Linked DNA regions of Caenorhabditis elegans. The protein of the gene in region 1 purifies or fractionates together with the protein of each later gene. This does not show direct contact. Each region holds a gene or a part of one and is shown in the gene's direction. Other genes may lie near its edges. The genes, in order: nxf-1, eef-1B.2, csq-1 and ssb-1.

The links.
Region 2: the proteins of nxf-1 (region 1) and eef-1B.2 purify together in Caenorhabditis elegans (affinity purification with mass spectrometry, with the first as the bait; one study listed by BioGRID). This does not show direct contact.
Region 3: the proteins of nxf-1 (region 1) and csq-1 purify together in Caenorhabditis elegans (affinity purification with mass spectrometry, with the first as the bait; one study listed by BioGRID). This does not show direct contact.
Region 4: the proteins of nxf-1 (region 1) and ssb-1 purify together in Caenorhabditis elegans (affinity purification with mass spectrometry, with the first as the bait; one study listed by BioGRID). This does not show direct contact.

What each region holds. Positions count from the first base shown.
Region 1 is NC_003283.11:14,411,149-14,417,996, reverse strand, and holds nxf-1 (Nuclear RNA export factor 1), read left to right. Parts: upstream 1-2,982; 5' UTR 2,983-2,984; coding exon 2,985-3,111; intron 3,112-3,159; coding exon 3,160-3,551; intron 3,552-3,600; coding exon 3,601-3,780; intron 3,781-3,830; coding exon 3,831-3,917; intron 3,918-3,965; coding exon 3,966-4,075; intron 4,076-4,181; coding exon 4,182-4,218; intron 4,219-4,272; coding exon 4,273-4,341; intron 4,342-4,397; coding exon 4,398-4,591; intron 4,592-4,640; coding exon 4,641-4,931; intron 4,932-4,984; coding exon 4,985-5,264; intron 5,265-5,313; coding exon 5,314-5,376; 3' UTR 5,377-6,101; coding exon of another isoform or gene 6,102-6,189; 3' UTR 6,190-6,348; downstream 6,349-6,848. Other genes in the region: nxf-2 (Nuclear RNA export factor 2), read left to right, coding at 202-513, 561-647, 696-842, 893-955, 1,002-1,133, 1,185-1,249, 1,296-1,707; C15H11.11 (Cytochrome b-c1 complex subunit 10), read right to left, coding at 1,851-1,989, 2,035-2,183; gnrr-2 (G-protein coupled receptors family 1 profile domain-containing protein), read right to left, coding at 6,102-6,189, 6,356-6,593, 6,642-6,762, 6,813-6,848.
Region 2 is NC_003282.8:15,035,482-15,040,096, forward strand, and holds eef-1B.2 (putative elongation factor 1-beta/1-delta 2), read left to right. Parts: upstream 1-1,849; 5' UTR 1,850-1,867; coding exon 1,868-2,009; intron 2,010-2,059; coding exon 2,060-2,140; intron 2,141-2,188; coding exon 2,189-3,288; 3' UTR 3,289-3,357; downstream 3,358-4,615. Other genes in the region: fcd-2 (FANCD2), read left to right, coding at 1-200, 1,260-1,460; hrpu-1 (B30.2/SPRY domain-containing protein), read left to right, coding at 4,594-4,615. UniProt on the Caenorhabditis elegans protein: EF-1-beta and EF-1-delta stimulate the exchange of GDP bound to EF-1-alpha to GTP.
Region 3 is NC_003284.9:14,682,485-14,689,330, forward strand, and holds csq-1 (Calsequestrin), read left to right. Parts: upstream 1-2,392; 5' UTR 2,393-2,393; coding exon 2,394-2,528; intron 2,529-3,476; coding exon 3,477-3,596; intron 3,597-3,642; coding exon 3,643-3,727; intron 3,728-4,358; coding exon 4,359-4,462; intron 4,463-4,515; coding exon 4,516-4,627; intron 4,628-4,676; coding exon 4,677-4,750; intron 4,751-4,922; coding exon 4,923-5,102; intron 5,103-5,149; coding exon 5,150-5,389; intron 5,390-5,436; coding exon 5,437-5,563; intron 5,564-5,607; coding exon 5,608-5,684; 3' UTR 5,685-5,838; downstream 5,839-6,846. Other genes in the region: slt-1 (Slit homolog 1 protein), read left to right, coding at 39-140, 190-302, 361-425, 471-543.
Region 4 is NC_003279.8:4,631,530-4,636,535, forward strand, and holds ssb-1 (Lupus La protein), read left to right. Parts: upstream 1-2,573; 5' UTR 2,574-2,580; coding exon 2,581-2,713; intron 2,714-2,760; coding exon 2,761-2,969; intron 2,970-3,024; coding exon 3,025-3,873; 3' UTR 3,874-4,086; downstream 4,087-5,006. Other genes in the region: ubr-4 (UBR-type domain-containing protein), read right to left, coding at 1-330, 1,067-1,583, 1,701-1,818; acbp-1 (Acyl-CoA-binding protein homolog 1), read right to left, coding at 4,286-4,534, 4,801-4,812.

The sequences.
Region 1 (6,848 bases):
TGAGGATTGATTTTTTAGCTAAAAAATAAAAAATAAATATTTGGGCTAAATTAAAAAATTTAGATGATTTCTGCAAAGGATGAGGAGGTCTCGCATGGATTGACACACCTTGCGACTACGGTAGCTGTAGATTTACGAAGTGATTTTCTTGTCTTCAAATCGACTTCAATTTTTCAAACTAAATGCTCACTTTTTAAGATTATGCGTGGACAAAATCGGCGAGGCTATCGGAATATCGAAGGACGGCTCAGCCTTTCATCCCATTCATCGCATTCTTCACCACGCCAGACACATGTCACAAACTTGAGGCCAGCTGAAATCAAGGTTGTCCAAGATGTCGTGGATGGGTGTTATGTTGCGACTGACGATGTTCTTAACCTGTCGAACTTTTCAAAAAACACAGAATTTGTCGAAAGGGACATGTTGATGTGCCTCACGAAGACAAGAGTGATGTCGGTAGTTCTACAGCATATTGGGTACAAATATCCTCGCATTTCCGGAATCTCATTCTCGGTTTAGATTAATTTGTGAAAAAATAATTAATTCCATGTAATTTTCAGAATAATCGGCTCTGTCACTTGGACCATCTCTCCTCTCTCTCGAGCATATCCAAGTTTCTAAAATTCCTCGACTTGAGTCATAATCAGGTTTTAAAAGTTTTTGTATTCTTAAATTTCATAACTTTTTTTTCTAAGATTTCGTCAGGAGAAGAATTGAAGAAGTTAGGAACGATTCCAGTAGAAACTGTGTTTTTCGAGGGAAATCCAGTCTGCGAGAAGTTTGTGCAATGTGCCGAGTATGCCAACTTTATTCAAAAGACATTCCCAAAATGTTCAAATTTGGTAATTCACGAATATCCTAACAATTATTTCAATTTCTATCTAAATTGTAGGATGGAATGGAAGTCGAACCAAAACCAGATCACAATAGAATCGAGCAGATAATTCCATTCAGGGTGATACAGTATATTTCTACATTCCCGAATCATCTAATTATTTTAGAATGGATACTATGGCAGTGATGAAGTTCGTACTCTTGTCGAAGAATTTATCATCACATATTACAAAATCTACGATGGCGCAGATGGACAGCAGACAAGGAAGCAACTTCTGGATGCGTACGACACAAATAACGTGCTGATTCTTGCATTTTTTCAGTAGTAAATATAAACATATATTTTTCAGTCAACATTCACGCATACAGTTGTCTGCTTGTGGGACCCAATTAAATTTGTCATGTATCCGGACAGGTACCGTCTGAAGTCTTAAGGTTTTAATAATTATTTATATTTCAAGTGAGAGCTATCGAATGTACCTGAGAACTTCGCACAATGTTCTGAATCAGGAATATTTTGCCGCAAATCGGGCCTCCAGAATATCACACGGTGCAATGGATATCGTAGTTGCACTTTCGAGACTTCCTGCCACAATTCATCTGATGGATACATTCGTAGTTGACGTGTTCCTTGTTTCGGCAACACTTCTCGGATTCACATTACATGGAACATTTCGTGACGGACCATCTGCGATAAAGCCCGAGAACACTGAGGAACATGATAATTATTTTACGAGAACATTCATGGTTGCTCCAAGAGGCGAAGGAAAAGTCGCCATTGTTTCCGATCAGCTGTTCATTAGCTCGATGTCAAAAAGACGCGGCGATCAGTACCGCATGCTAGTGGAGACAGCAACGGACATTGACCAGTGAAAATTATATATTTTCATACATTTAAACGGCATCCTATTTGTATTTTTATGTCTAGTTTCGGATCATATCTTGTTACCAACACCTAGCATGTTTTTTTTTGTCTCAACATTTTACAGTTATTTGTTAATCTTCATTTTTAAAAATTATTTGTATGGAACAATGTCTAATCGGTCTTTGTAGCTATCAATTTTCAAATTGACCTGATCAAAAGTGGCAGCACCAAACCAAGCAGCTGCGAATCCAATTGAAGCACTCGCTAGGTAGATCGCGATGATTCTTTTTCTGAAACAATTCCATTTTCAAGAGACTTTTCGTGGAAATACCTACCCCGGTTTCCTCAAACCGGGAAATACGGGAACACGGGAGAATGTGAATTCGGCTGAAGTTCCGATGTCTGGCAACATCTTCCGACGTTCAAAACGCGTCGGAATAGGCGCAATATTGTCAAGACGCGAATCAGGGGTGTACTTCTTCATATTCTTTTAGTTGTAAGAACAATGGAGAGAGACGGATGTTTTGGAAATTGTTGGCTGCGAAGATGGGAAAAGAGTGGTGAGCAAACAAAAATTACGGGGAACAAAACGTTTTCTCGTATTTTTACTGCTATCTATATAGCCACTGAATTTGCAGAAATATGTATATTTTGTTGACAGGTGACAGTGAAATATTGAAAATTTACTCATATATTACAGTAGTATCTTTTTGCGGTTACTGTAGTCGGCGAAATTGAAAATCACTGTTCAACGATTAATATTTTGCATGATCGATTTTTATCATGCCTCTTAAGTGTTACTATCATTCTAACCGAGAATTCACGTCATTTTCTGACTCGCATGAAACATGTTTGCCTAAAACATTTTTTATTCTTGTTTATGTCGTCAAATTGGGGGCTCGTCTGCATTTTTGCGTAACGGTGTTTGCACAACCGATAAAAGTCACGAGATTTTTTTTTGCATAAATATGATTCAGTTTCACCAATTTTCGAATTGCCGTTCTTTGCTTAGTGTTCCAAATGTGAAATTATAGTTTTAAAATCTGATTCATTGAGTTTTCTGATTTCCGCAAAACTAAATTATCTCCCGGCTGGAATGAGGCAGCCGTCCCAGTTTCGCAACACTTTCGAAATGAGTAAAAATTTAACTTTTCCTTGTCTATTATAACTTTTCATGTTCAATATTGCTTTCTCTTGAATATCATATTTATTTGTGTTTCACCTACACCTTTAATTTAATTTTTCGATACCAGTTTTCCCTCGATGAAATACAAATCTTTCAGATATGAATCGCAAAGGGTTTGGAGGGCATCGTGACGCGAAGCAATTGTCACGTACAAAGAATCGTTTTGCTCGACTTGACCCAGACACTCAAAGCAGATATGAAGACGACGACGAGCCTGCCGTTCCAGGTAACGCTTAGATTTATTCATATCCTTGCCAACTTATTTTTGTTTCAGTTCGTGCAAGCCTTACTTCTGCCAGTAGCCGTGGTCGTGGAGGATCATCACGCGGTTTCGGACAATCGGCTGCATCCATCGCCAACACTGGAGTTCGTAATGCTGACATCGTCTACAAGTGCCGTGCTACTGGAGCTGCCAAGAAAGTTGATGCCAAGTGGCTGATCAAGCAGCTTAATCAAATAATCGAAAATTTCAAGCCACTTCTCTGGACTGATAACGCCCGTGGAGACTTTGAATGGTACGTCCGCGACGAGGACACTGCTTCAACTATCCGAGCCAATAATCGTCGTGTTGTCCACAAAGAAAGTGGCACACGCGTTGAGTTTTACACTTCCAAAGTTCCAGCCCCATGGATGAAACTGAAACGAGAGGAAATTGAGATCATTCATGTAAGCCTCAAAATTTATTTGTCAGGTAATCATTACAAACATTTTTCAGAGAGTAGTCGACAAACGTCACAACGCCGAGAATCGAGTATTGGATTTATCAAACTTCCACGAAGACGAAGAGTTCAAGGCAAAGGATATGATGATGAATTTGACGAAAGGAAATGTCATGCTCACAGTTCTCGATCACATTGATGATAAGTACGGAAACATTGTGGCTTTGTCGTTATCAGTGAGTCATGCTCTTAATATTCTCTATAAAAGTAATTTTTATCATTTCAGAACAATCGCATCCGTCATTTGGACTACGCTTCAGCTCTCGTGTCAATCGCTAAGTTCGTTATGGAGTTGGATTTGAGTCACAACCACGTTAGTTCAATAGATCTAGCTATTTTTTATTCAACTTTTGATTTACAGATTTCCACTGAAAAGGAGTTAGAGAAATTCGCCGGATTGCCAGTCGAAAGATTCTTCTTTGAAGGAAACCCAGTCGTCGAGTCATTCACACAGAGGGCAGCATATATCAGGTTACATTATCTGAATGATTTTCAGATTTTTTATTTAAATTTCATTGTGTTTTCCTCCTTGTTCCCTATTTTATTATGTTCATTAACCCCAAACCTACCACTTCAGCTATATTCATCAATCATTCCCGCGATGCAACATGCTGGTAAGTTATTTAACATTGAGCCAAGTTCGCATCTCGGAATGAAACTACTTTCAGGACGGAGTCGAAGTGCAGCCGCTGGTTGTTGGACCGGATCTCGATATTCATGACGCAATGCCATTCAGAGTAAGTTCCTGCGGATTTAAATCTCCCTAGAACCTTCGTTATTCTAATATTTTTAGGCTGGATATTACCCAAATCCACAGATCCGAGTTCTTGTCGAGCAATTTGTGACTTCATACTTTGATTTCTACGATGGACCGGATGGCCAGAGAACTAGAAGAAATCTCCACAATGCGTACGACGCTGATGCTTCAACATTCTCGTTGACAATCGAACATTTGCGTGGATCTTCTCATGCACGACACCACAATGAGTAAGGATATTTTAAAATGCACAATATTATTATATTTATTGATTTTCAGCGAGTGCTTTGCACAATACGCTGGTGTATCACACAACGTGCTGAAACAGGAGCGATTCGCTCGTCATAGAGCTTCTCGTTCAGCGCGTGGAGCCATGGATATTGCAGTTGCTCTCTCAAAACTGCCAACATCTAGCCATATGAGGGACACATTTATTGTCGACGTTTTTCTCCAATCAAATGATCTTCTCGGATTCACAGTTCAAGGACTATTCTGCGATGGTGATCTTACACAGACCCCTTCACCCAGTTTCTTCAGCAGATCATTTTTGGTGTCTCCGAGAGAGAATGAGTGGGTTACACTTTTGTATCTCAAACTTATACTCATGATTTTCGTATTTTCAGCTCAGTTGCAGTAATCTCTGATCAGCTTTTTATCACAGTTGCCTCGTTGGATCGATTAGAAAAGTTCAAGAAGCTGTACGATCAATCTATTGCAAATGGTGCGGCCGTGGAACAAGTTAGCGCCGTTCAAATTGCACAAATCGGAGTTAACGGAATGGGATTCGACGGAGCACCTGCACTACCGATTCGTGAGGAAATGATCAAAGCGATGTGCCAGTTCAGTGGAATGATTCCACCATTCAGTGAGAAATGTCTTGCAGACTGCGCTTGGAACTTTGACGTATGTTAATCATTTCTCAAAGCATTTGTTAAAATTGAAGCAATTTCAGTTCGCCTGTCAGAAGTTCAACGAAATAAAATCATCAGTTCCAGCAGAAGCGTTTGCTCATTAAATACTGTTCTATCGACATCTTCAGTATGCTTAGTTCTTCCTGATTTACTCTTTTTTTATCGATCTTTCGTTCAATTTTCTTCTGTTCGCCCTTTTTAGTTTTTAATATTTTTCTGCAATTTTTCATCCCTTCCCCTCTTTCGAACTAGCTCCTCCAGGTATTTCTACAATTCGCTTTAACGTTAACCTTTCTAAAATTAGGCCTCACAAATCTCAATTGGTTCGAGTTTCTTTCAACATGTTAATAGTCACTGGTGAATCGTATAGTGCTGTAAACGGAACTGCCAATGGTATTTAAATTTTTCATTAGTTAGAATTAGTTAACACGTCGAATGTCGCTCCCACTTCCATCTTTCACCGTCACTGAGCTTTTCACACTCTTTAACACTTCCTCCTAATTCAAAAAAGGAGTTCGCCGAAGTGTGTGTCCTGCAGAAGCTCTTTGGCACCATTTGGAGTGACGTTGGGCGTGTGTTCGTAGTTGAATTAAACTAAATTTAATATCTGTTGGCAGTCTCCATAACAGTTGCTATCTTCACTGACTTTTCTCTTTTTCGGAGGTCAATTAAAAAAAAAAAAAAACTAGGGATCTATGAGCGAATCGTCGGAAAACTTGCAAAAATTATCATTATTATTCTTTATTGTATTTTCAGAAAATGCATTATCAATTATTCTACACCTCTCGATGTGTTTATTGACCCGTATTTTGTCCCACTCCATTCCTCCTTAGTTTTGCAATAACTTGCAAATCTTCTTTGTTTTGGGAGCAGCCAATCGCTCTCTACACTTGAACAAGAATCGAATCCCCTGGCATCTGAAAATTAATCATATTGGTTTTCTAACTATTCATTCTCTAATTCTTCGTTTTTTCAATTTGCCCTGTCATCATTATCCCTCTATTTTATCTTATATTTCAAAAATTTGTCGTCTCATTCTTTTCTTTTTTTTATCAAATAAAATTATATAACCCAAAACCGAACCTTCCATAAATGAATGGATTAATGACACTGTTTAGAACCACCAATGAATTCAGAATATAGTTGGAATCCAGATTCTCACGATACGAATCCCAATGAAGAACCATCCACCAGGAGAGCAAATTGTATGGAAGCCAAGTGACAGCGTACGTCAAAATGAGCAAAAGTGTGATTCGGAGGCTCCGAACTTTTGCTCGACGAAACTTTTCCTGTCCACGAACTGTTCGAGTAGTTAGGGTGACTAAAAATAAATAATTTATTAAAAATTATGAGATGTGATTCTTCTTACCAAAACTCTCTTGATCCTTCTTGTGAAGAGCAGCTTTTCCTCCAGTCTTTGATGAGCTCATTTCAGAAAGATATGCAGCTGAAGAGCATTCGGTGTCCGTATTCAGAGTCTTGTAAATATCCTTGAAATATTTAATTACTTTACATTTTTCCTATCAAATAATAAACTCACTTTCAGAATTAGAACATAACAAGCAACGAGAATCAT
Region 2 (4,615 bases), on another chromosome or scaffold:
CTACGGCGGTTTTGACGTCGGCTATTAAAGAGGGAAAACAATTTCTGATTACTGTTTCTAAAAAGAGCTCATTCATATTTTTAATGGATAATATTACGAAGGGAACCAATTTCGATACGATTTGTAGAAGAGTTGAGAAGATTTTATCGGCTGTTCAACAGGGAAATCGTGTCTTGCAGAGTATTGGAACTTTTGCAAAGGTTCTTTTTTTTGCGATGGAAAATTCCACGTTCTCAGGATTTGGATTTTCAGAGGAAAATGGATTTTTTTTTTCAGTGTTTCGGGGCAAAAAACAAAAAAACAGGCTTCTTAATTTTTGGATTTTTTAAAGAGAAATTTGATTTTTTTTTGGTCCGAAATTGAAATAAAAATTCTTTTTTTTTTAATTTGTGATGGCGAAAAATAACAAAAATTGAAATTTGTAGAAAAAAATCTTCAAAAACAAAAAAAAATTCGAATTTCGATTTTTTTAAAATGAACTTTTCAGAATATGAAACCCATTAAAAACCACATTTTGCTTTAAAAATTTTTTTTTGTAAAATACGAGAAGTGAGTTTTTGTCCAAAAACCAAGAAAAAAAATTAATTTTGAACCAGAACAGACCGGAAAAAAAAACCATTTTGGACCGAAAAACAATTTTTGCAAAAAATAACCATAAAAATTCATTTTTTACCCAAAAAACCTAAAAAAAACCAAAAATATCCCTTTTTACCCAAAAAAATTAATTTTTCCCAAACCAAATCCAAAAAAAAATTAATTTTTGGTTTAAAAAACCAGAAATACAATAAAAATCCAAATTAAAAAAAAAAAAAACCAAAAAATCCTTAAAAATCAATTTTTGACCAAAAAACTAGAAAAAAAACCTTTAGAAAAAGGAAGAAATAATCTTTTTTTGCCCAAAACAAATCCAAAAAAAAAATCATTTTTTGATTAAAAAAAACCAGAAATCCAAGAAAAAAATCCAATTTTGGCCAAAAAACCCATTTTTAGCCACAAAACCCCCACAAAAAAACCATTTTGCAATTATGCTCAAAAAAACTTTTAAAAAAACCAAGAAAAAATTATTTTTGTCCAAAAAAAATCCAATTTTGTCCGAAAAAAACAGTTTTTTATCAAAAAAAAATCCATTTTTGGCTAAAAAAAACCCAAAAAATTTTATTTTTGCCCGAAAAAATCGAAAAAATTTTCCAGATCCTGAAAACGTGTTACCTCCACTGCAATTTTTTTCTCAAAAAAAAACAAAAAATCTCAATTTTCAGACGAACAAATGCGTGCTTCTTCTCAAAAAATTCCCGGAACTCCGTGCAGAAAGTGAGAATTGCCTTCGAGTAATTCATTCGGCAATGGTGAAAAATGAATGTTTGAATGCATTCACTGTTGGACTCGTCAAAAGTCGAAGTATTGATGGAGATATTATTATGGATCAGCGTGCCAGTGAAATTGACTCGGATTCCGAATGAAATTTTAAAATATTTTAATTTTTCGCGTTTTTAAACGGGTTTTCTCTGTATTTTTAACTTTATTTTATTTTTTCCAAGTAAATTTGTTGTTTTTCGTTCAGAAATTGCATTTAGAAGCTGAGAAACCATGGAAAATCATTAAATCATGATTTAAATCACGATAAAAATAGATTTCGCTTCAAATTTTGAACTTCCCTCCATTAAACTTTAAAGGCGCATGGAGATTCACAGCGCATGGGTCTCGCCGCGCCGTGTTGCATGTGAAGAAATTTTGGGTAATTTTTGCAGTTTTCTAGTATTTCTAGCGCTGTTGTTCGGTTTTTTATTTGTTTTGACGCTCGGAAAATTTATTTATAACTTTATTTAATGTGCCAGCATAGTTTATTATTCAATTTTCAGGTAAAACAATGTCTGTCGAGGGTCTTCTCTCTGAGGTCAAGCACTTCAACGCTCATCATTTGGATGCTGCTCTTGGAGAACAATTGTTCTATGGAGGGAAGCGTGTCTTCTCCGACGTTAAGCCAGGAACTTCTTCTGGTGGTGACCACGGTATTTATTATTATTTTTTATATAAAATGTTTAATATTCAAGTCTTTTAGGATGCAAGGGAGGAAAGAGCGAGCTCAAGGGAGCTATCCACAATGCCAAGCATGCCGCTGATAAGGCTTTGAACAAAGAAGGTAAATTTGGCATTTTCTGAAAGCTAATTTAACGCATTTCTGTTTCAGGAGGAGAGGACGTCTCCAAGCTTCGCGAAGAGCACTCTGCTCTTGCCAAGAAGGTCGACGACTTGGCCAGTCTTGTCGCTGAGCTTCAACTTCAACTCTCGACTCTTCGCCAAGGACAGGTAAATCATCGTCGTCACGTTTTGATTCTTGGCGACGGAAATCTCTCGTTTTCCCTTGCCATTGCGTCGTCAGATCCGGAAACTGTATACTTTGCAACTGTTTTTGATTCGAAAGAACAGTTTTTGAAAAAATACAACGCTCATGACACGTTAAACGCTCTAGACGCTTTGAGCAATGTGATCCTATGTTTTGGAGTTGACGCGACAGATCTGCCGGTTCGCTGGAGCAACATCTTTAACACGGTTATCATGAATTTTCCACACCCTGGCGGTAAAACCAATCTGAGAAAGAGTAAAATTTTGCTCTCCGGAATTTTTGCTTCCCTCAGAAGTATTATGGATAGCCAAGCAGTATTTCTTCTCAGTCTTGCCATTGGACAGTCTGGGCTCGAGAAGGTCTCTGATCCGTGGATGAACGAGCTCCCAAGTCACAAAAAAGATTCCTGGCAGGCAATCTATCTGGGCGCCGAGAATGGCTTCATTCTCGACAGTCTGGAGAGGTTCGATACTGATAGATTCGCATCTTATAGATCTTCCGGTTATAAAGAGACTAAAAAAGGGTTCAATAATCGTGAAGGATTGACATTTTCCTTCAAAAAGTGTGATAATCAGCAGAAGTCTCTGCGCGATTTTCAATTGGCTGAGCCTCCGAGGAGTGGAAAGTTCAAGTTCAACTACTATAGGCCCTTCTACGCCCAGGATCTGTCGATTTTGTTCAAAATCGGTGAGAGCGAAGGAGAGAAGCTCGCCGTGGAGCTCGTAAAATCGATCGCTGGAAATTGTTTAGCTGCGATTTCTGAGATTGAATATCTTCGATCCATCTGCCCAGATCCGCCACTCCCAAATAGGATCTACAGAATTATATGGCACGGCCTCGAGCTTCCGATGGGACGTGAAATGTGCTCCAGAATCCATGAAGAGCTAAGAAATCGGATTGCTGAGGAGATTGTCGCCAATAATCTTCCACTGGTGCTCACCTGAAAGATCTGCTCGTCTTCTGTTAATTTATTTGTTGTATGTTATTGTTATGAAAAAATAATCGTTGAAAAAGTTGCGAAGTTATAGTTTCCGAGGTCCAAAAGCCTTAATTTTATATTTTCCATTTTCTAATACTAATTTTTTGTTTTCAGACCAGCTCCGTCGCTGCTCCAGCTGCCGCACCAGCCGCTGCTAAAGAGGAAGCTGCCGGAGACGACGACTTCGATCTTTTCGGATCCGAAGACGAGGAAGAGGACGAGGAGAAGAAGAAGGTCGTTGAAGAGCGCCTTGCTGCCTACGCCGCAAAGAAGGCCACAAAGGCCGGCCCAATCGCCAAGTCCTCGGTCATCCTTGACGTAAAGCCATGGGATGACGAGACTGATCTCGGAGAGATGGAGAAGCTCGTCAGATCCATCGAGATGGACGGACTTGTCTGGGGAGGTGCCAAGCTGATCCCAATCGGATACGGAATCAAGAAACTCCAGATCATCACCGTCATCGAGGATCTCAAGGTTTCGGTCGATGATCTCATCGAGAAGATCACCGGAGACTTCGAGGATCACGTCCAATCCGTCGATATTGTTGCCTTCAACAAGATCTAAAGGCCTAATCAGTTGTTCTTATATCCATTATTTCTATCTATTGTATTTCAACCTTGTGAATAATTGGTTTATTCGGTGTTTTTCTCCATTTATAGACAATATTAAATGTTTTCATCGGTTAAATAAACGTTCATTAGGTGCAAATTGCGTCAGTTCTTCGTTGAATAAATTTAATTTCCTCCGGTTTGTGAACTCTGGTGCAGTACTGAATATTAAAATCACAGAATTCAACTCAAAAAATATAAATTTAGAGCAAAAATGCTGCTCAAATGGAACACAAAATCGATTCCGCCGTGAGTTTTTCCCCATTTCCCGCCAAAAAAATTCAAATGCACGAAAAACACGCCAAGCGCACGAGAAACGCGTCAGCAACGGTTACAAGTTTCGCGCAAAGCGTCATTTTTCGCGTGATTCAATTTCACAAAGAAATTTCGCGTTTTCAGCCGTTTTTCATCATTTTTTTGCGAGAAAAATGTGAAAATAATTTCCTGTTACATGGGAAATATGATTTTGCGTTGAAATTTCGTTGAAAAATCGATAAAATTCGCGGAAATCTCATTTTATTGTCCGATGGGTCGAGATTTCCCAGTTGCTTTCGCGCGTGAAAGTATCGATTATTTTTCTCGTTGGTGTGAATTAGTTATTCGCTTAATATGCCGCATTTTTCGTAGCATATAAAATTATTTAATTTTCTCAAATTCCAGGCATGCGCGCCTCTCGTCGCAGTG
Region 3 (6,846 bases), on another chromosome or scaffold:
TGCAAAAAATCAGTTCACCCTTTTTTTTTATGTTACAGGCATCGATTGTGGAAACGGAAAGTGCACGAATAATGCCCTATCACCAAAAGGCTACATGTGCCAATGCGATTCTCATTTTTCAGGAGAGCATTGTGATGAAAGTGCGTTTTTTTGTAGGAAGTATTTGCAAGTTAAAATGTTTTATTCCAGAAAGAATCAAATGTGACAAGCAAAAGTTCAGAAGGCATCATATAGAAAATGAGTGTAGATCGGTTGACAGAATCAAGATAGCAGAGTGTAATGGTTACTGTGGAGGCGAACAGGTAAATCGAAATCTTCATGTTATTCTGATTCTCAAATAAAGCTGTTATTTTCTTTCAGAATTGTTGCACTGCTGTGAAGAAAAAGCAGAGAAAAGTGAAAATGATATGCAAAAATGGAACAACGTATGTTAGAGAATTCCTAGCTCAAACAAATACTTATTTTTCCAGAAAAATCTCCACTGTTCACATTATTCGTCAGTGCCAATGTGAACCTACAAAAAGTGTTCTCTCTGAAAAGTGACAACTTTAAAGTGAAAACAATTATCCCTTGAACTCCTAGATCCTCGATTTTTGACATGTCATATTCCAATTGTAATATTATGTTGTTACTTGTGGGGTTGCTTGAATAGTCACTTCAACCATACCTAGGCATAAAAATAAGGCCAGTTTTCAATTTTCAAGAAATGAACAACTTTTTGGAGTACACAGCAATTTCACAAGGACCACTATATTTTATCAATTTACGATTCGAATTTTTATATTTTATTTTTCAATTTCCAAATCCAGATTCTCAACGATACCACATAAAACGTTTGCTTTACCAGATTCTTCCTTGCCACGTCAATTCACTAATTCCACAAACGAAATGCAAATCCCATAATACTACCCCGATCGCTGATTTACTGATCAATCCTTGAAAAATCAAGTTTTTGTGTGGTGTGTTGGCTTGAGTGATCGCAGACGCAAATAAATTCGGATAAATGTGCCCCCCTACCAAGCGGGTAGAGGGTGATATGTTTGCCGATTTATTGAGCAAGATGAGGAGTAGGGCGAATGGCAGTATTAGTTAGCGGTACCGATTGATTTCATTTCGCAAATTTCTACGTCGAAGATGAAAAATTATTTCGAGCAGTGACGTCAGTCGGTTGGTTATGATGAAGACTGCCGTTTGGTTTTTGAAAGCCGAATGCTATAGATATTCTTTGCCAGATGTGTGGGCAGATGAGGAACACTTTTTTTTTGCGAAAAGTTGATTTAAAAACAAATGTTTCGGTGCAAAAAAATGTTGGCACCGAAATATGAGCTGTTACTTGGAAATCATGTTACCTTTGTTCTGTTCTGTTAATTCCCTCTAATTTGAAGATATCCTTCAGTATAACAATTTTTCCGTGTTCGAATTATAATTGAAACATATTTTTAAAACAATTTTATTCCGAAATTTAGAGACACTTCGAAACTAAATATTTAATCCAGAACTCAGTTAATTAATTTACAGTAGCTGAACCCCGAAAAGTTGTAACTCAAACACTTATGTTTCTTTACTATTGTTACACTATTTTCGATCCTCAATAACATTTTAAAGTGGTAATTCCTAAGCCTAAATATGAGAATAAAGTGTTTTTGGTGGTAAACTTTTGATGGATTCTATGTAACGCCCTAAACGGATTTACTGTGGTTCGACGCGAGTCTCAGTGAATGTCGGCTGCGCGATTTTATTAAGTGTATTTAAATTTTCAAAGTAGACAGTGTGAGGAATGATATCATGTTTCATGTGTTTTTCTCCTATGCAAACATCTACTTGAATGCTTGTACGGTTATTTTCAAGTTGCCAGCTATGAAAAAAGTTGGAAAGTTGCATGTTCCCCTCACGTTATTGATTTATTAGAGATATGAACTCTTCCAATTGCCCCCACAAACACTGTTGCCTCACCTCCAATCTCGCCCACACTCCTTCAGCTTCTTCATCTTCTTTCACGTAGTTTTTGTTTTCATCTCGACAAATATATAGTGTAAAGTCAATCAGTCACCGGAGGAAAAGGCGCCTCAGGAGCTTCCTGCTGTGCTCGTTTCGCTACCTCGGTATCAAGCTTATTCTCAGCTCCCCCCTTTACAACGAAAGCTGGCGGGGCCCCGCGGATGGCAGTGGAATTGTGTAAGAATAGCGATCAAAGAGAAGAACATCAGTGCCAATGCAGCAGCCGCCAACAGCTAGCGCGGACCTTTTCCACACACTATACCCTTTGACTTTTCTATCCTTGTTTCGTGTCACTTTTTTGTCTTCTTTTTTTGAAAAGATCTCCATGCACATCCTTCCTTCCTTTTATCTCTCGCTTTTTTCTACAGCAAAAAATAAGTTGCGTTGTCTTTAGAATGACTTGGATCAAACTTGCTAGCCTTGCGCTAGTGGTTGTGCTTGCAAGTGCAGGCATCTCCAAAAACGAAGACTTGGAATGCATGTTCTTAGGATATCCAGATCTCGAATACGACGGATTCGACAGAACTGAGGTGAGTTATTTGGATATAGGATTTATAATGTCTATTTTGTCCATTCTGCAAATCTTTTCTGAAAATCTGCAAAACTACCGATTTTGTTTTTTTTTTTACAAATCAAAAATGAATGTACATAGAAATAAATGAGAATTTTGTCAATTTTGTCAATTTTAGTTGGCAAGAGTTGGCGAGAATTGCCAGTGAACTTTCAGGCTTTTTTTCTTTTTCCTTCTTAGGCTTTTTTTCCGTTCAAATTTGCCAATAAAAATATTATTTTAGAGTCAATCAACTTTTTAGAATCCAAAATTACCAAAATACCAAAACTGAACAAGTTTCTAGATTTTTCAACAATTTATCCACTAACTAGAAGGTATAGTTAATAGTTATTTGGTTAGAAGCGATTTTTTTAAAAAATTTTTTTGAAACATTATTCATTAGTATTATCGAAAAAATACGATCGCACACATTTCTCATAATTTACTTTTGATCTACCTGTTGTCTCCGCCCCCAATCTTGTCGCCGTTGTTATTTTGTTGTGGCTGTCTTGTCGAAGGAAGGGGAGGAGCCTCGTCAACAAGGTAGATCAAAAATAAATTATGAGAAAATTGTGCGATCGTATTTTTCGATAATATTTGAGTTTAAAATTATCAATAATTAAATAAAAACAACTTCTAAGCAGACTATAGATTCCTATAGTTAGTTCCTATAGTTCAAAACTAAAAAATTTTGAGAACAATTGTTCTCGACTATCTTGATCATCATTTTTCATTTAATTCTTTAACTTAAATTACTCAATAACAAGACATTAATTTAACTTCACAATGTCAGTAAACAATTGCGTCATTCTAGCAAAACTTGACCTATAACAAAATTTTCGACATCCGGGGTTTTCGAACCAACCTATCATATTACACTGCAACAGATATTCATCTTCACTCAACAAAAAAAAATCAATAATTGCAGGTTCTGACCGAGAAGAACTTCAACAGAACTGTTTTCGCTGAAGACACCAAATCGGTAGTGTTCTTCAACGACGTGGAAGAGGACGACTCAGAGCTTGACCAGTATGAGTGCTTCCTTCAGGTGAAATTCAAAATTTGATAGTTTATTTTTAATTTATGAATTTTAGTTGTCTGCTCAAATTATGACCAAGAGAGGATACAACTTTTACACTGTCAACACCACCAAAGAACATCGCTTGAGGAAGCAGGAAGGTAAACATTTGCTGTTCCACAAAAACTTAAAAAATATTCCATATTTTTGTGTCATGTTTTCAAAAAATTCAATATTTGTATTACATGGTTATAATTATTGAAACGTACGTATTGCTAAAAATTAATTGTTCTATGCCAAAAGTAAAAATAGAAATATGATGTTTTACCTCATATTTTTCCATTTCTTGAAAGTTGGTACATATCTTTTTTGGCAAGATTGTACATTTCTTTTTCGTAAGTTGGTGCATATCTCATTTATATGTACCCACATTGTAATGCTACGAAATTTTGAAATGTCCGTTTAAAGTCATGAATTGATTTTTTAAAGTGGGTCTCGTCACGATCTCATTCATAGTGGCTGCTACAGGTGTCAAATTTTACTTTTTTTGTTAATTTGATTTATAAAATATTTTTATAAAAGTTCAGAATTTGAAATTCACGGAAAATTTAACATTTAGCACGTAGTGTGACGTTTCCGAGAATGGACCATAATCGAATATTATTTTTACCAATTAATCATTTTATGTTGTCGAAGCTTCACAAAACTTGTGGAAACTTAATTTAAATAAAAAAACATTTAAGAATTGGTTAACCTTCTAATTCTTCATTAATTCTTGATTCAAAATTTCAGAAGTTGAAAAGGGAGAGGACACTATTCACGTGTACAAGGATGGTTACAAGATCGAGTACAATGGTGTTCGTGATCCAGAAACTTTTGTTTCATGGCTGATGGATGTACGTTATTTATTAAGTTTTTGCTAATTCCATAAATTATTTTTCAATTTAAGATCCCAGACGATCCAGTGACTATTATCAATGATGAACATGACTTGGAAGAGTTTGAAAATATGGATGACGAATGTGTCAGAATTATTGGATACTTTGAGCCAGGATCAGTTGGTACGGAATGTGAACAAGCTGTCATGCATAAATTTTAAAAGAATTTCAGCTCTCAAGGAGTTCGAGGAAGCCGCTGAAGACTTTATGGGAGAGATCGAATTCTTCGCAGTTGTGACATCTAAAGTAAGTGTTGAGAGCATTTTTTTTCAAAAATGTATTATGAAAAAGTATAATAGATGTTGATTTTTCATTTTTGAATTATTATATGTACCCCAATTTTCACGCTTAAATATCAAATATGGTACTTGAAAAAAAATAACTTAAAATCGATATTCTTTAATAAATGTATTTTTAGTGGGCACGCAAAGTCGGACTAAAGAGAGTCGGAGAGGTCCAAATGCGCAGACCATTTGAGGAAGATCCACTTTTCGCCCCAACTTCCGCTGATACCGAGGAAGAATTCGAAGACTGGGTTGAGAAGAACAAGGAGCCAGTTATGCAAAAACTCACCCTTGACAATTACTTCAACCTTTGGGTATGTAAAGTTTATATCCTTGCTAGAAAAAAATAATCGTGCTCCAGAGAGATCCCGAAGAGGAGGAGAGAATGATCTTGGCATTCGTTGACGAGGAAACCCGTGAGGGAAGAGCCATGAAGAGGCTCCTTGACAAGATCGCCGATGAGAACTCCGAGCACGCTGGAACCCTGGAAATCATTCTTGTCGACCCTGATGAGTTCCCACTTATGGTTGATGTGTGGGAGGATATGTTCGGAATCGATATTGAGGAAGGACCTCAAATCGGACTTATTGATATTTCTGAGGTAGCAGACTCTATTTTATTTGTCAATTAATAGAATGTATATTTCAGAAAGAAGGAATCTGGTTCGATATGTCTCAAGTGAATTTGGATGATCCAAAGAAACACTCCGACTCCAACTTCGAGGCTCTCCAATCATGGATCGATCAGATTCTTTCCGGATCTATTTCTCTTGATGGTGAATAACTTTTTCAACTAAAAATCTATAAAAAATAATTTCAGATGATGATGATGATGAGCCAGAGCCACCAGCACCACCACCAACTCCAAAGGGAAAGAAGTCTAGAAAGGAGCTGTAAAAAAATCACGTTTTTGATCTACCTATTCTTATTTTTCACGTATTGTTATCACACCTTAAACACTTCTTTTCATGACATTTTAATGGTTGCCGCTTGGTAGTTTCTTCTAGTTAGACACAATGTTTTCGTTCAAAATAAACTTTTTTGGAATTTCAATACGGCATTGTTTTATGCTACAAGTGACCCTAATATATAATAAAGAACAAATGAAATAATTAAATGTTTGTTGTAAAAAGCGTTCAACTCTGCAGTGATTTAGGATGTTTTGCCTCGGATGCCAAGGATCTATATATTTTTGGTTTTAGCATCGTATTTAGTAAAATTTTTTATTGTTTTGTAATATGCCCACACATATATATATATATGTATATATATGAATTTCCGGAAATTTTATCTTGTAGGTCACATGTCTAGTTGCTCATTGCAAAACGTTTTTTCCTGTCCAAGCTCATAATTTTCAAAACTCCATCGTCCAAAATTCTCCACTACTTTTTTCAATATTGTTCCACAAAAACCAGTCAGATGATTGACAGTCCTCATTTTCATTGAGTTTTTGTTCTGACCTTAGACATACATACATACACACATTGCACTCAGAAAATAGCAAAAATGCCCGTTTTAAATGCAATGAGAACCAGAAACAGTGAGGGTGAGTGTCAGCAAACTACGTTGCGAAGCAAAGGCAATACGATAATTACCATTGTGTATGTATTGGTATGTCTTTCTTTCAAATTTCCGTTAGATGAAAACAATTATGGGCTACCTTGAGACAAAAAGGCAACACATGGAACTGTGGAGTACTTGGTGAAGTTGAGTTGGAAATTGCAAGACAGTTTGTCACCAATGAAAAATGTGTAACAATTTTATGTGAAAGCCTTCCATTTTTGTTTAATATCATATCTAGCTGACTGGTGAGTATGTACATGTTGGGTAAGTCCACAGTACTTCCTTAATACTTGACAACTGTTGTGCGGCGCAAGGTGTTCATATCAGTGTTTATAACATTAATTTCTGACTATTTTGACAGATGTGCTTAATTTTGAATTTAAATACCAAATAAATACATTAAAATAACGTGTTTCACAAGTTTTTATACTATTTTTTCAATTGCATATATTTAAATAGTGATTTATAAAACATGGCTTTTCATGGACCGTCTCAA
Region 4 (5,006 bases), on another chromosome or scaffold:
TCCAAAATCCTTGAAACCAGAGATCCAACAATTTTCCAGAGTCTCGGTTCCATCGATGTACAAATCTCTTCTCCACTGATTTTCAGCCATTCACAAGAGTCAATAAATTTTTCAGTGATTCTTTGAACAAGAACATCAGTTGGTGATAGACTAATTAATTTCTCAAAAATGATGAGAGTATTCTTTTTGACATTTGGATCTTTTTTCGATAAATGTGGCCATAACTTTTTGATTAGCTCGTCGTAGATGTGAAGTGAAGATTCGTAAAATGAAATGTCTTCTGAATCTTGAATTGCCGGTTTTTTATTTTCTTGGAGGCGTCTGGAATTACTTTGGAATTTTTTTAAGTGAACTGTTTGAATCTGAATCAATTTATTTTGAAAATGATCAGCCCTCGAACCATGGGTCTCGTTAGGTATTTGGAGCAGGCCTGCCGGTTTTTCGGTTTTCCAGTTTTTCGATTTTTCTCGAAAAAAAGAAAAAACTGAAAAATTTTCTCAAAAAAGTGAAATTTCTGTTTTTTTTGTATGAAAAAGTGCGTAAACTGTAATAAAAATATTGGATTCTGAATAAGAAATACCAATTTGGAAGTGTTTTCAGATTTTTTTTTTCGGTTTTGCCAAAAATGAAAATTTTCGATTTTTCGGTTTTGTTCAAAAAAAAAACGAAAAATCGAAAACAAATTCGGCGGCACCTGATTTTGAGGTAAAACCGTAATTTCAAACATTTTTTTGATTGGTTTCGCCCATTTTCAAGCATTTTTCTTCGTTTTTTAAAATAAAAGAATGCATTTGAAGTTGAAAAGTGAATAAGAATTTTTTAATTTGTTTATGAATTTCATTTCATCAACTTTGGCATAAAATTCATTAAAACGACGGAAAACTAAACAAAAAAAGACAAAAAGTGCTTGAAAATTGGTGAAACTAGTCAGAAATGTTTGAATTTTCGGTTTTGCCACCAAATACCTAACAAGATCAATAAAACTTGATGTACTTATTATTGTTGAAAACTTTCGGGGGCTTTAATTAATTTTTTTAATTTTTTCTTAAAATTTAAACTTCCATACTTCAAAATTCTCGCCAACGCTGCATAGTACAATTCGTTCGCGAATGTTTCATGATCCTTCATCTCGGAGAATAAATCAAAAATGCTCTTCTCAATAAGACCAGCCGCTTGTTTCGCCGAGTCTGGGCTTGAATCGATTTTCACAGAATCCCACTCCTGATTCATCATTTTACGCGCTGTTTCTTCAAGATCAGTGTTCCAAATAGCTGAGAAAAGTCGACGAGTCAATCCGAATTCAAGAGCGAATCCCTTGCAAATTGATGTGATCTGTTCGGAACATTTTGTAGAAGATGCAGTAATGGAATCCATATGCACAAAATTAGAAGAAGTCGAAGAAAACTTGGAAATATCGATTGATTCCATCATGATTCGCCATTGTGGTTCAATTGCACCTTCGGTTATAGATGTCATTATAGGCATCCAAACATCCGGAGAAAATGTTATTGGAGGTAGATTTACAAGTTTTTTGATTAAAATTCGCATTGCTTCGCAGATAATGTCGACATCGCTGCTTACATCTGGAAAAATAATAGATTCAGAACGGATCAGGGTTTTTTTTGTTGGAAAAAAAAGGATTTTTTTGGTGTTTTCCACCCAAAAAAGCATGTAAATAAAATCATTCTAGAATTCCTTACAATTTTCAACAACCCGTAGTCTGTAAATAATTGCTGCAATCGATTCTCCGTCGAAATCCTTTGCCGCATTTTCGGTGACATATCGGACAAGTCCGATTGCCGTTTCACGCGGATCCATTAATCGAAATTTCAATTAATTTTGTATTTTCTGGAAATAATTGATTAGAAAATCGATATAATATTTCAACAAAGCAAGATGTATTGCGTTAACTTTCGCAATCACGAGGCAATATAAATAAACAAAAAAGAAATACAGAGGTTTTCTTTGTTTTACAAAGTTTTATCAGCTGAAACTTTTGTTTCTCGAAATTTTCGTTATTTTATTATTATTTTTAATCGAAAATTCATCAAAATTTCCCATCTCAACAGAGGAAAAACAGAAGAACAACAAAAAAACGAACAAAAATAATAAATAACAAGTGGGCGGAGCATCAATTGCGTGCGCCGTTTTTGCATAAAGTGTGTGCCAGGGTTGCAAAAAATCATTTTCGAAACTTCAAACTCATTGCACACATTTTTTATATTTTCTTTTTATCGGTCGCTGTTATTCCTTTATTTTTTTACATTTTTTAAAAGAAAATCAAATTAAAATTAACATTTAATATTTAAATAATCAACTTTTGGAAAATATACTTCGAGAAAATCTCAAATTCCCTAGTTTTTAGGCGTTCTAGGCCTAATTTCACCTAGTTTGATTATGTTCAGTTTAATTATCGAGCAATCAACTTCAGGAATTAGAAAACACGTTAAATGAGTTTTCGCATTACTGAAAGTCGAAGTTTGAAGTAAGATTTGTTCCAAAATGTTACATGCCTTGTTTCTTCTGTTTCGTTTTCGTTTCTGTTGTATTCTCTGTTAATTTGTATTATTCAGCAAGAAAATGGGTGAGACCGCTGCCGCCGTTCACGACGATGCTGATCAGAAGATCATTAAGCAATTGGAGTATTACTTCGGAAACATCAATCTTCCAAGAGACAAGTTCCTCCAGGAAAAACTCAAGGAAGACGATGGATGTAAGTTGTTTTTCTTCAATTCTAAGATTGTTGATTTTTCATTTCAGGGGTCCCAATTACCACGATGCTCAATTTCAACCGCCTAGCCTCGATCAGCAAGGACACTGAAAAGATTGCCAACGCTGTCAAGAACTCTGGTTCGGGAATAATCAGCGTCTCCGAAGACAACCAGAAAATCCGCAGAAACGAAGAGAATCCAGTACCGGAGAACTCGTTGGAGTACTGGCAAAAAATCAAGCACAGAACTGTGTATATGGTACGTTTGTATCTTTCTGATTTTGTCTTTACATTATCAATTTCTCATTTTTCAGAAAGGATTCAGCACTGACACCCAATTGGACGACATTATTCAATGGGCCAATCAATTCGGAGAAACCGAGAACGTTCTTATGCGTCGCTTGAAGCCAGGAGACAGAACCTTCAAAGGAAGTGTGTTCATCACTTACAAAACTAGAGAGGAGGCCGAAGCCGCACAAAAGGCTGAAGTTAAGTTCGGAGAGACAGAGTTGACCAAGATGATGCAAGATGAGTATTGGACTCTGAAGAACAAAGAAACCAAGGAAGCTCGTGCTGCAAACAAGGCTGCCAAATCAGCTAAGAATACTTCTGAAGCGATTGAATCAGAAAAGGCTCAGCACGCTGTCCGTTACGAGAAAGGTCTCATTCTGGCCGTTGATGGACTTGGACCTGATTCAACTATTGACAGCATCAAGACTTTCTTCAAATTGCACGGATCTGTTGGATACGTTGCACATGAAAATGGAGGCAAAACAGCCGAAATCCGCTTCAACAATGACAGCGAAGGAGCGCAGAAGGCCTGGGACAACGCTGTTGCAGCTGGAACTGATGGAAAAGTCATTCTTCAAGAGGCTGAGCTCTCCGCACGAGTTTTGGATGGAGAAGAGGAGGAGAAATACTGGACAGAGTTCAATGCCAGAAAGAATCAGAGGCAAGGAGGTGGACGTGGAGGACGCGGTGGTCGTGGCGGACGAGGAGGCCGCGGTGGTCGTGGAGGTCGTGGTGGAAGAGGTGGACGCGGAGACCGCCGAGGTGATAAGCGGTCAGCAAACGATGAAGGTGCAGATGGATCTGATGAGCCAAAGGCTAAGCGTACTGTGTTCGCTGAGGATGGTGCTCCAGCTGCTGCTGCCGCCGAGTAATTTCATCTTTTGTTGAACAAACCCAAAAATCTCATTCTTTTTTTTTTACTTTTTCCTCCATTTTTTGTTGTTATCATTATTGTTGTGTTGTCCCCCCATTCATTAATCTTGAATACCCTCATTTTGTTGACTTCTCACTCTTTTTAACATCTCTTTTACTGTATTATTACCAATTTAAAAGAGTTGCGGTTTTGATTTATAAATTATTCGGATAAACCAAAGTTTTAGAGTAGCAGACCGGAAAAAAAGAAATTGCAGATCACTCGGAACAGGGAACATGGAAAATGCATTCTTCTGAAAGTTCAAGTTTGCTGATCAAATAGGCAACTTTATGTCTAAATTCTTCGGAATCACAGAATCTTCATTACAAAAATATAAATGTTAAAAAAACGTATTATCAAACAGAATTTATTTAGGCTCCGTACTTGGCGATGAGCTCCTCAACAAGAGCAACATAGGCCTTCTGAGCATCATCCTTTGCGAGTCCCTTCTTCTCATCCCAGGCAGACCACTTGGCTTTTCCCTTCAAATCGAACATTCCTGGCTTATCGGTGGTGTTGTCGCCGACGGTTCCTTGTTTGAACAGAGCATAGAGCTTGAGAAGCTCATCATTCGATGGGGAAGTCTTGAGGGTCTTAACGGTGGCAGCAGCGTCGTCGAACTGAAAATTGAAAAGACTTAGTGAGATTTTATTGGGAAAATATCAACATTTTGCTTCAAAAAATCTAAAGTAGTCTCAAATTCAGAAAAAAATCGCCAAATTATAAAAATGTCTCTTTTTCAATTTTGACTAAGTTCCCTCCGCTATTTTGAAGGGAATTTGCCAACATTGAAAAATCACGGTTTTACAATTATTGCTTTCTGTTGTTGTCATTATTCTGAATTTGAGATTATTTTGGATTTTCTACATCGGAATTTGAAGCTTACCGAGAGGGTCATTTTGAAGACGATGAGAAGAGCTTGTTGAAAGTTTGAACCTGAAAATTAAGAGATTTTAAAATAATGAAACATGAAAAATAATGATGAAAGGGCACTTTGTATATTGTATTTATCTTGACGTACACAACCACGCACTAGAAGTATACAGTCAGAAAAACGGACACTCTTATCATTTGTTATCACTAAAAAATCGT